3 linked regions of the Coturnix japonica genome follow. The protein of the gene in region 1 interacts with the protein of each later gene in a biochemical or structural test. Links are inferred from orthologs where the notes say so. Each region holds a gene or a part of one and is shown in the gene's direction. Other genes may lie near its edges. The genes, in order: SYK, FLT3 and ERBB4.

Region 1 (4,328 bases):
AGGGAGCTGGAAGGGGCAAAGCAAGAAAATATGCATTAAGATAGGAACATGAGAAGGGGGAAGATCCTATCATCTCCTCCATGAGGTGAGTGGCTACATTGATACGATCTTCCCCCTTCCCTCACTTGTTCCTATCTCAATGCACGTTTTCTTGCTTTGCACCTTCCAGTTCTCTCAACCATCTGCTCACCTCCATAAGATGAGTGATACTCAGCTGGTCTGTGAGCAGGAAAACAGCACTAGCCCCTGCCCTTTTCCATCTATCCCCACGCTGATTCTTGCTGTGGTACAGAGCTGGTTCCATCAGTGTCCCCTTCCATCTTGTCCATTACTTGCTTACTTGGCGAGGACTGGGGCAGAGTGCAAAACACAGGAAACCTCACCACTGAGCAGCAGTGCCCAGCAGCAAAGAAAATGCATTACTCATACGCTATTACTCAAAATCCCAGATAGGCACCATATCAGCTGCTGCGGAAAGTTAACTCTACCCTTACCAGGTCAAGTACTCTTGCTCACATATAATTAAAAGTCATGAAACATTTTTTTTTTTTTTCACCAATTTAAGAAGAAACTTCTGCTTAAAATCTTGTTCATAGCACAGTAATGACTTTCCAAAAGCCATTTCCTGTAGACTGTGCCTTTGGATGGTGTTAGGAAAGACTTATGCCATCAAAGGCCCTCCAAGAATCAAGTTTTCTTAACACACAGGTAGTGCCAATTCAGAAATGTATCTGCACTTTGGCAATCAGACCAAAAGAAAGGCCCTTTTCAACCGGTATGAAACATGAGGCTTTTGCCCTTTGGCAGCTCTGTTTAGTATAATGGATGTGGAAGGAGAGCCAGTGCTTCCTTGCAGCACCTCTTTCTTATACAATAAGCAGGCCCACTCACTGCAGCAATCACTTAATACAAGGGAGCAGGAAACAGACCTCGCCTCACGTTAGTGCTGCTCATCATGGCACACAACACCACCATGCAGTGGCCATGCCTGAAGGAGAAGCATGGCTGCAGGTGCACCTGAGGTGCCATTCAATGCCAGTGGCAGCGCATCCTGGAGAAGCTTGTTGCCGTCTGTTGCATGTGCAGACATCTGTAGTGGAATTGACTCCCTCGTACATGGAGCCTTAGGGACGGGGTCCTCTTCAGCTCTCTTCCACACCAGGTGTTGTCTCTTCCATACTAGCAGCGGCTACAAAATGAGTAAATACCATATGCAGCACAAAGATCCTATGTTGTTTCAAATACAAACCGTTTTTGCTCCTCCAGAAGCAATTTTCTCACCAAAACACAAAAGTACCAAAATACATTACATTTCAATGCTGACAATCAGCGGGTCTATTCATTTTCTCCCAAGAGACGACCACTCTTGCGTCCCTCTGCTTTCCCACGTTCACCTCACACCATCGGGCACCACAACACGCACGTCGGGGCGCCGCGGGTCGCACACCGCACACCCTCATGGACAAACGTTCTGACAGGCCGGGGGCCGGAATCGCCCGAGGGAGGGAGCAGGGGGCCGACAGTTCGTTGAGGAAGTGGCCTCGGCTGAGAGAGAAAACGAGGAAGCGGCGGCTCTCGCAACGCATAACTCGGGCACAGCTCTCGGCTGAGCCGCGCCGCTCGGCTCGCTCCCAGGAGGAGCCGGTGGGCGGCAGTAGGCGGCGAGCGGAGGAGCCGCCGTAGCGGTGAGTGGAGGCCACGCCGGGCCGGGGGGATGCTGGCAACAACGAGCGGGGTGGGCCGGGGTCTGCCAGCCGCCTTTTTTCTCCGGGGTTTACCCGGAGAGCGGCGAGTAAATGTGCCAATCTGCTGAGGCAAGCTGGAACGTTCCGTCCTTCTGTAGTAACATCGGTAGCCTGGCATTTGAGGAACTAGAATATGGAACTTAAATACAGAAAATATATAGATTTAGTCATGTTTTGAATGTGTTGCGGAGTAGTTTTTAACAGCGTAAAATTTACACTAAAGTAACTGTTCAGCTTCTGAATGGTGCATAGTATATAAAAGATTTGGCACCTGGGAAAATGGCTTTAAAAAGAGCTTCTTTCTTATAAAAAATCTGGATTTTGTTTCTGTCAGAATAATCACAGAGCATTGCTAGAAGTGCTGAATGTTGGTACTAAGGGTGCAATGGTTGACTTGCTGCTGATCATTTCAGTATTGGGCAGTATTTTCTTCTGTAGCTCTGTACTATGTGCAGTTTGTGCTGGAGTTCATTGGGTGTGGGTGTAGTAATGCCACCCTGGGAAGAGATGGATGCTGCTTTTGTTGGGTGACGCCGACCCCACCAGAGGTGATTGAGACACAATTTGGCCAGAATGCATGGAATATTACAGAGTAATTCCATTTCAAAACAAAACAATTCCATCTAAGGGAATGAACTCCTTGTAACTTCTTTTGATGTTCTTTTCAGTTGGGCTTCTTTTATATTCTTTTTATCCAAAGACATTTAGAATTCTCAATTCTTTGGGCTGAATCTGCAGCTTAATCCACAGGCACAGCTGTCTGGTTCAAGTGACTATCAGTCTTTTAAGCTCGGTGCTACTACAGGCTCAGAGGCCATGAGCTGAAGCAGAGCAGAACACGTTGAGGCAGCCCAGTTAGAGGAACTGTGTTGTTTTTTCATCCCTCTGTTGAACATTCAGTGATAGAGACAAATAAGGAAGTTTGAATGCTCTTTATTTCTGACAGTTTTCCTGTGGGGGAGAAATGTTATAGTTTGGCAAAGACTTTGAACTAAAAGGTTTGGAATCACCGAATGTGCCCCAAAATGTAAGTAATTGCTTCAGATTTCAAATGTACATGAAATAACTGCAAAACCCCATGATAAACTGTTGAAGTGTTCTTGGTTTTCTGCCTTTAGAAAGTATTAAGTCCATAAGATCAGCAGTGAACAGTGCTACTTGTCCATTTTGAAAGAAGAGCAGAATTAGATCTGAAGTTGCAGGAAGACAAAACCAGAAGTTCAATTTTAGTAGGAGCTAGCAGGTTACGCTGGAAACTAAACTGCATTTTAGAGCACTGATGGTAAAACCAGAAGCTGGATTTAAGCACCCTAATAACAAAAAATATAACATAGACATGTTACCATACACTTTTATCTTTGTGTGTGGGTGTGTGTGTATGTTATGACAGAGACATGAGGAGCAGAAGTCACTACTGAAATATATGTTGTGTTCAGAGTTCATGGGATTGCAATCAAAGTTTGTTTTTTTATAATCAGTTTTGATTCATTTTACTTTCTTTATGCTTTTTCATTACTCAATATTTAGCAAAAAACAAAAAACAAAAAAAAAAAAAACAAAAAAAAAAAACCCTAAAAACCAACCAAACAAACAAAAAAACCCTACAAAGCCCACAGTAAATTGGCTGACATTCCTAGTGAGAATACTGTGACTGTCAGCAATTGTGTTTGTGTCTGTATTTATGGCAGAAAGGTACTAGATGGTGATGTCCATTTTTCAGCTTTATGGACTCTTCGATCAGTGGTTCAATACCTGTTTTGTGCACACCAGTTACATGTTTAGCTCCAGGATAAAATGGCCGAAAAGGGGAACATGTATGATTTTGTATTGTAATTATAAGGAATTCAGTGTGTATCTTTGCATGTGAGTAACAATTACAGAAAGATCATTCCAGTCAGCTATTTAAAATTGTTTATTTTGCATTTAAAGATGAGGTGTACTTGTGTGATCTTCTGCATCGGGGTGAACATACTTGTGCCACTAAGACTGTGCACGACTTCAGTCTGAGCACAGTGTTCTCTTTAAAAGCTCAAGATAATCTTGTGAACATGAGAAATGTAGTTCAGTCATAAGAGTGAAAACTTATCACACTGCAAGCATTTGCAGGATCATCTTAACTTCTAATTTGGAGAAAATACCATTTTATTGTAGGGAAACAGTTTTGTGTTGCTTTATCTTTACATTCCAAAACCAAAATTAGTTCAGAATTTCCTGTCTCTGTGTGCACAATGACTAAGTGACCACTGCTTTAAATGAGTTTGTTGAAAGGAAAGAAAGGGAAAAATATTTTGAGACCAATTGAGCTTCAGTTTTCATCTTATAAGTTCTCGTAGGTATCTGCCACCTCTCTGTACCAGGTAACAGAACAACTTCAAATGTAGGAAATATTCTTAAATAGCCAGAATGCAGAAATGTAATAGAGTATTATTTTGTGTGGTTTCACTATCACTTGGTTTGTAACTAGCTGATGGTGGTATGTATTAATTTGAACAGAGAGGACTACCCTGCCTTTCCTCTTGCTTTGTCCCAGTTTGCTCTGGAACATTGTTCCTCAAAAGAAGTATGGAGTGCTAAGTGTCCTGA
Region 2 (3,649 bases), on another chromosome or scaffold:
CTCTGATAATAATCTGTTCATTTAGCAAATAAAGACAGAAAAGCCCCTGAGACCAACCCTCCATATGCTCAGGGTTGAATCATTTCATTCTCCCCCAGCAGTGAAACCTCACGGAGTAAGTTTCATCTCTGTGACTTCATGTACTGTGAGATAAGCAAGGCAATGTCTGCTCGATAATAATTATTTCAGCATTTTTAAACCGTTGCATGATTTTTAACAGGTAAACCGGGCAAACCCTATTTCAGGATATCTGAAAAACTGGGTGTAATAGAGTGCGTATCAGAGAGCTACCCCCAGCCCTCTGTGAAGTGGACATTTTGCAAAGCACGTGGAAAGAGGTATGACACAGGTTTTTATGTATAATGAACCTCTAGACTGAGAGCTTACCAATTTCTGATGAGGAAAGGAGAAGCTTTGTTCTGCTGGGTCTGCCTGGAGAGTTGGCTGTAGAATGAAGAAGAACTTTGGTTCATGTTTGCAGAGCTGCACACCCATGTGTCTGCATGACTCACTGTTGGAACTTTGGAGCACATATTTCGTAGAAATGTTGGCTGTTGCACTCTTTTGGAAACCTCCAGCACTTGGCTTGGAAATGTTGTTCCAGATTTTGGCATCTTAATGTTACCAGAACAAATCTAAAGTATCTCCTTTCCCTCTAGTTTTTTTTCACTTTAAAAAGAAATATGCTTGCATTAAAGCTGGGAAGAAGTCATAAGGGATCGTATCATTTCCTATCTAGATGATTTTTTCTCATTCTATTAACATATTTGATTGATTCCTCAACTGTATGAATGTGCTCAAGTAAGCAGCACATAAGCTCAAAGCAAACAGACCTCAGTGTGTCTCGTACCCTGGCCATAGGGAATACCTTTCTCTGCTGTGTGGCAATGTGGGATCTGGGATTTCATTTCTGCTGGATTTACAGCAGTTTCCATCATCATGAATACAGGGATGTGATGTGAAAGCCCAACCTATATGATTTCTCTGTTTAGCTATTGAATTACCCATTCATGCACCATTTTCAGAGTATTTGGGGGATTTCAGATCATTCTTATGCCTAGGCTGTGACATTTTTATTTTCTTATCTTTGCCTTTCCTAGTTCCTTTTATTTTGCTGTGTAAGATCAAATTTTCCCACCATTGTTTGCATATTCTCATGGCTTGGAGATTTATCAGATTTATTCGCTTGAGGTTAACCAAATAAGTCAGTGAATAATTGTGCTTGTAATTACAGCTGCCTTAATAAAATGCATGAAGAAAATGGAGAAATAGATGGCATACAGAAGGTACAATATGAATTATATCAGAGTGAATTGTTTGAAACTTACATATGGTGCTGTGCAGCTAATGACCTGGGCAGAGAATGCTCCAGTCTCTTCACTATAGGTAACTTTCCCAGAGGGTTTTTGTATGTGTGAGCTGGATCCTGCTGCTGGAGTTGGTTGCACAGCTTGCCTGAATTCACTTTCTGGACTAAGTTGTTTGTAACCACTGGAACAAATCTATCAGTGAATGCAATTGCTCTGTCTTGTATTTAATCCTAAATCATTACAGCTATTTTGTGGTCTCTGTAAACAGCCTCTTGCCTTTTCTAAAGAGCTATCATCCATTTCTGCATGCTTTTAAGGCTCTGTTGTTGTGGATGTGCTTCAAAATATCCTTAAAGCATAAAATTTTTGTTTGTTAGTCTTTTGTTTTTTTTTTTAATAAGCCTGACTTGTGCTAAACGCCATGCTGAACCATGCTATATATATACAGCTTGTAGATCATGACAAGCATTTGGTTTGAGATATCTAATCTACCAGATTTCCTGATTTCATGGTTAATGAGTAATTTTCTCAAATTCTAATGATCATTCTAATATGATAATGGATGTCTATGCAGCATTAGAAGAACAAATATAGATTTAAATGAGTGTTTTTCTAGGCAGAATCATAGCCATTGTTTTGTGACCATGCTTCGTTTTGTAGATTTAAGTCAAAGACCAGCAGCACCTTCAGCTGAGTTATTTCTCAAAATTGGGGAGCCACTGCTGATCAGATGCAGAGCTGCTTATCAGAATTACAAATTCAGAATCAATTTATCTTCTGAAAACAAAGAAGCACAGCAGGTAAGAAACCGGTATGTTTTAAAACAAGCAATACTAGGCACCATCAACTGATTAAAAGGAAATCTCTGTTGACATCCAGAAGCACCGGTTTGAGGGGTTGGAGTACCAAACAGACCGCTCAGCCATTCGGATCCAGTACATGTTTACTTCAGCAGCGAGAAAAGGAGACAGCGGACGTTATACCTGCTCTTCTACAGCTCATCCAAATCAAACTGCTTTGGTTACTGTTTTAGGTAATGCTAACCCCAGTGTTAATTTTGTCCCTGGGCTGGCTGTTTTGCTTTGTTTTCAGTATAGTAGTTCCTTGCTTGCAGGTGTGTAACACATGTTCCTGGTGATTTCTAAGAACAAATCCTGTTTACACTTAGCAACAGATTAGGAGAGCCAAGAGATTAATCTGAACTGAGTCATTCAGGACCCTGACGATAACATACTTTTTTCTTTCCAAATTGCTTTCCAAATAACTCTCATTAAAAGACAGCACTTTTAGAGGTGAAATGAACAGGCACTGTTGGGAAGTTTCGTGGTTATTTCTTTATGCACAGGCTGAGGGTCAACTCATGATGTTGTAGGAGACTCCAAACCAGTGTGACAGAAAGCCATGGCAGCTTTTTGTGGGGACACTAAGCTACTGGCAGCTTTGCCCCCGGGGCTTCTGGGCATAGGAACTTTTATGCTACCAAGTCAGAGTAAGGCAGATACAGAGCATACAACTAGAAGAAAAGCCTTTCAGAACACACCATTTCTGGAGCTGGCAAAGAGTATTACGAGCATGACCTGTCCCGGTGTTTAGGTATTAGTGCTCTGTATATGAGTTTGGCCACAGTCTGAAGACCACCAGCTCAACTACTCAACTACTACGGTCTTAACTACTGTGATATAGAATTGTTCTATTATGACTCCATCCTGAGTTTTGGAAAGTTGTAGCCATAACCTCGGTCTCCTCACCACATCCTCCATCTGCATCTGCCTGGTATGGAGTCTCTTACTTCATCTGCAAGCACAGTCCCTTCAGGGGCTCATTGCTGCAACACAGAAAAAAAGCAAATAGAAAGTTTGCATCAGGTCTGACCTGGGTCTGATAGGAAGCAACCAAACAATTGCAAGTCTCTTGGAGGTGACATTCTCACCCAAGACACAGAACAAAAGAGAAAAATCTATTTCATTTTCTGGCAAGGGAATGACTGACAAATGGCCATTTCAGTTTGCTAAACTATTTAGGGAAAAGAAAATTTGCAAAAGAATTCTAGTTCAGTTACCTGTGGAACTAGTAGCAGAATGAAAACTTTTGCATGAAGTGTGAACAGTGTGCAAAGAGATCATGAACAACCCATTATGACAGAGCTGGCAAAATGCCTCACAAGAGACATGCTGCAGCTGTGGTGGTAGGAAGGGAAACCTGAAGCTCCAGAGACAACTGCTGCTTTGTTACTGGCTGGTTTGTCTTCTGCTTCTCAGGCACTGAAGTGAACCATTCTCCTAACACCGAGCTACCCAAGGCCTGAACATTCAAAAAATCTCAAATATACCAAAGGAAAA
Region 3 (3,649 bases), on another chromosome or scaffold:
AGGACATTTGTCTTGAATACTCTGTGGCACCACAGGAATGTAAGTAACCTATTTCTTGAGCCTTCCAGCTGCTCATTGCCCTGGTGAAGAGATGTGCACGGAGGGACTCCTGTCGAGGCTTTGCAGACAGCTGGTCCAGAAGGACATTCAGCTAACAGAGTTTTTTCTGCACTTTTGTATTTTGCAACCTGGAGCCTTTTGTTAGAAGGTTATCGCTTGGCTAAATACAGATGAATTTGAATGGCAGTGCAGAAAAGCTTGTTCTTAACTAGGGCTTGTCTTGTCCACCATGTTTACACCTTAGACAAAAGGTGTTAGATTTGAGTTACAAAATGGCCGTGGGAATATTTATATCAACAAATCGAGCCCATTCATGAACACCAAACTGGGCTTTCCACATTCATCGTGAATGTTTTCCCCGATGCAGATACTGAACTTCAACCAAAAGCCTCTCTTTATAAAGGCTCGTCTTAGTGACGTATTGGCAAAAGGCACAAACTGACTGTGGTGCGTCCCATCCCTGTGGTGTGACAACGTGCATCTTTTCTGATTGTACTTAGAGTGTAGCTGTTAGTACCGATACGTTTCTGCAAGAGATTGTAATAAAGCAGGCATCTCTTAAAGAGAAGCATTCTCGCCGTGGTCAGGCTTCTTACCCAAGGATGTGGGATTTTTTCCTCACTTGTCTCAAGTTCAGCCTTTTTTTTTTTTTTTTTTTTAATATCCTGACTTTTTCTCTCCCTGAACTGGGAGGTAAGGGAAACAGAGGGAGGTTTGTGAAACAAATTGGGAAGCACAGTAGTTATGAAGAACAGATCTAGAAATCTGAAATGTACCGTTTTAGCAGTAGAAAAATACGTGATTGTGTTTCTCGGCTTTATTTTCCTTCCCAGAAGATCAGCATTTTCTCATTGAGAAATAGGTCAGTTTTGAGCAGCACGGAGTAATACAAGAGCAACTGGTGTGCCAATGGTATCAGAATAAATGAATGTGTCTTTATGGAGGGATTGCTGTACAACCTCCACAACTCGCCCCTACCCAGCGAGGGAACCTGGCCACCTTCCCCAGGGCAGGCAGGCAAGCAGGCACACAGCTTTTTCACATCAGTGAAACACATCTTTGCAGTTTGGATTCGCTGAGGAAATCTGATGAGCATGTTTCTCCCCATCAGTTCATAGAGCTCATGCAACTTGTTTCACCCTGTGACCTCTAAGTACGTATCCATCATTCCATTTTTCTTTCTCATTAGAGTGAAATTGGACACAGCCCTCCTCCTGCCTACACCCCTATGTCAGGAGTAAGTATTTCACATTCAACCTTCATTCTTTAGGTTTTCCTCCTTCCTTCACTGCTTGTTTTCTGTTTTCCCTCCCTTATTCCTATAATGTCTCAAAACCCAACACTGAATGCAGTTTGTGTATGTATAACTCGGGGATCTCTAAGCTCAGCTTGGATTCATCTCTGAGCTCAAGGGATCCACATGCAAAATCACTGCCGATATTTCTTTGAAAAGTATTTAGGAAACAGGCTTGGATGAATCTGTCCATTTTTCCTTCCCATTTATAGGTCACGATGTCGAAATTTCCTTGCACGCCCTTGCTGAGAAGCAGAATGGTAGGTTGAGTTGAACTGTTGAGGTGTTGGCGAGAGCCTTGCTCACAGCCTGGTGGAGCTGCACAGTGTCTGGGTGGCTTTGTGGTCAGTGCTACCAGACACCCTGTGAGCAGCCCCCCTGGGAGCAAACCAAGTTGACCTAGCATAAGGTTTAAGGGTTTTGTTCAGAAATCACGGGAGGTTTTCTATTAAGAAAAAGAGAAACTGGGTTTGCTTGCCTTTTGCCACTGTGAATCTCCAACTTCCACATCTGCGTAGGAGACAAGTTCTGTACCCCATTTCTAGCCTCATTGCCATCCAGTCTCCCTGCAGCCCTCCCTGCCCTGATGCTCCTCCCAGGGAAGGGACCTGCTCAGCAGCACCGGGCAGGCAGATGCTTTGCTAGACCCTCAGCACTGGAAATGTGGCAGCCTGCAGGATGGATGAGGATTCTCCTGCCCTGTGAAATGCATCATTCAGCAGCTGTGGCGGGAGAGCCAAGGGCATGCCTTGTAGTACAATGTTGCTTCCCTTTAGAGAGCGTTCTTTCTAAGCTGCCTTCTCTTTCTCAACAGAACCAGTTTGTGTACAGAGATGGCGGCTATGCTGCAGAGCAGGGAGTGCCGATGCCATACAGAGCTCCTGGCTGCATCATCCCAGAAGCCCCAGTTGCTCAAGGGGCAACGGCAGAGATCTTTGAAGACACCTGCTGCAACGGCACACTGCGGAAGCAGGTGGCCACGCTGGCAAAGGAGGACAGCAGCACCCAGAGGTACAGCGCTGATCCCACGGTCTTCATACCAGAGCGGGTGATTCGGGGAGAGCTGGATGAGGATGGCTATATGACGCCAATGCGAGACAAACCCAAAACAGGTAACAGTTGGTCCTTCCAGGGAAGTTCCCAGTCACTGCCTTCTCTATTTGTCTACATCGGCAGCTTTACACCTGAAAGGGTTTTATCTGCTAACCCAGCAGGACTGAAATATTCTGACTTGATTAACATTTCTTTGCTGGGGGGGATTCTCTTTTCTTTGCTTAACATTCTACTTAAGAAAGCTGACTGTACTATAATGTCAGGTTTGGTATTTCCCCTTTCATTTTTTGATGCTGGAAGGGAAAAGAGAGAGGAATGAAAAAGACAAAGCAAAAATAAGAAACCAACAAACCCCCCTCATTATCCAAGAACAAATATTTATACTTTTTCCAGTAATCTTTCTTTGTCCAGCCATGGTCTCCACTTGGCTTTGTTTATTGATCTGCTTTATCGTCACAGCATCGTGGTTGGTAAAATGTCAGGTTGAACATACCACAGAACCGATGCACATAGTTGGCATTTTACGCCCAAGAGAAGTTTGGGACGGAAAGAATGCCGTGTGCTTTGGAGGAACCATCACCGTGAGGTGGAGTGTGCCTGTGTTACTGCCAGCTCAGTGCCATGCTTCCCACTTGGCCTTCGTTCTCTCCTTTCTTTTTAAATAGCAGCAGCACTGTTTTGCTGTGAGGGGATGTGTCATTAGTCATTTGCTTTCAAACATTTGCATTGGCTTTAAAGAAATTAATCAAATCAGATGTAAATGCCAAATAACTACTGAGTTTGCTACAGGATTTGGAAGACTGTTAATACGTAGTGGAAACAGAGGGGGTTGTGGGACAAGTGCACTTGTAAGCTAAGGCAGACAGTGTCCCTGCTTATCTTCCCTTCCCATCCTCCTATCTCACTTCCTGTGTACCTTCAAACCTTTCTGCAACTGAACCACATCTTTTTGTGGTGTTAGCCCGCAGCAAATGTTTTGAAGACACCACAACCTGTGCCAACTGTTCTGGAGCTAATGTTAAGACTCTACTGTACCCTTTCCAGGACTCACTTGAATTATTTTTCATAATGCTTCAAGGCCCTTTGCCCTTCAAGGATGGAAGCTTTTTAATCAGGCAAATTGTTCTATTAGAAATGAAGCTGTCTTAGAAGTTAAGCCTCTCTGCACAAAAGCCATCCCCGAGGGCTAACTAAGATTCCTGTTGAGCTTTCTGGATGGAGCAACTGTGGAGCAGAGGGTTT

The links.
Region 2: of the proteins of SYK (region 1) and FLT3, one has a biochemical effect on the other in vitro, tested with the Homo sapiens proteins (2 studies listed by IntAct, with this or other methods). The link is inferred for Coturnix japonica from reciprocal best matches to the Homo sapiens genes SYK and FLT3.
Region 3: the proteins of SYK (region 1) and ERBB4 form a complex in vitro, tested with the Homo sapiens proteins (2 studies listed by BioGRID and IntAct, with this or other methods). The link is inferred for Coturnix japonica from reciprocal best matches to the Homo sapiens genes SYK and ERBB4.

The regions. Positions count from the first base shown.
Region 1 is NC_029547.1:39,246,795-39,251,122, forward strand, and holds the start of SYK (tyrosine-protein kinase SYK), read left to right. Parts: upstream 1-1,391; 5' UTR 1,392-1,685; intron 1,686-1,728; exon of another isoform or gene 1,729-2,772; intron 2,773-4,328. UniProt on the Homo sapiens protein: Non-receptor tyrosine kinase which mediates signal transduction downstream of a variety of transmembrane receptors including classical immunoreceptors like the B-cell receptor (BCR).
Region 2 is NC_029516.1:157,441,223-157,444,871, forward strand, and holds part of FLT3 (receptor-type tyrosine-protein kinase FLT3), read left to right. Parts: intron 1-220; coding exon 221-338; intron 339-1,234; coding exon 1,235-1,386; intron 1,387-1,970; coding exon 1,971-2,110; intron 2,111-2,189; coding exon 2,190-2,343; intron 2,344-3,649. UniProt on the Homo sapiens protein: Tyrosine-protein kinase that acts as a cell-surface receptor for the cytokine FLT3LG and regulates differentiation, proliferation and survival of hematopoietic progenitor cells and of dendritic cells.
Region 3 is NC_029522.1:7,035,291-7,038,939, reverse strand, and holds part of ERBB4 (receptor tyrosine-protein kinase erbB-4), read left to right. Parts: intron 1-1,249; coding exon 1,250-1,297; intron 1,298-1,566; coding exon 1,567-1,614; intron 1,615-2,168; coding exon 2,169-2,466; intron 2,467-3,649. UniProt on the Homo sapiens protein: Tyrosine-protein kinase that plays an essential role as cell surface receptor for neuregulins and EGF family members and regulates development of the heart, the central nervous system and the mammary gland, gene transcription, cell proliferation, differentiation, migration and apoptosis.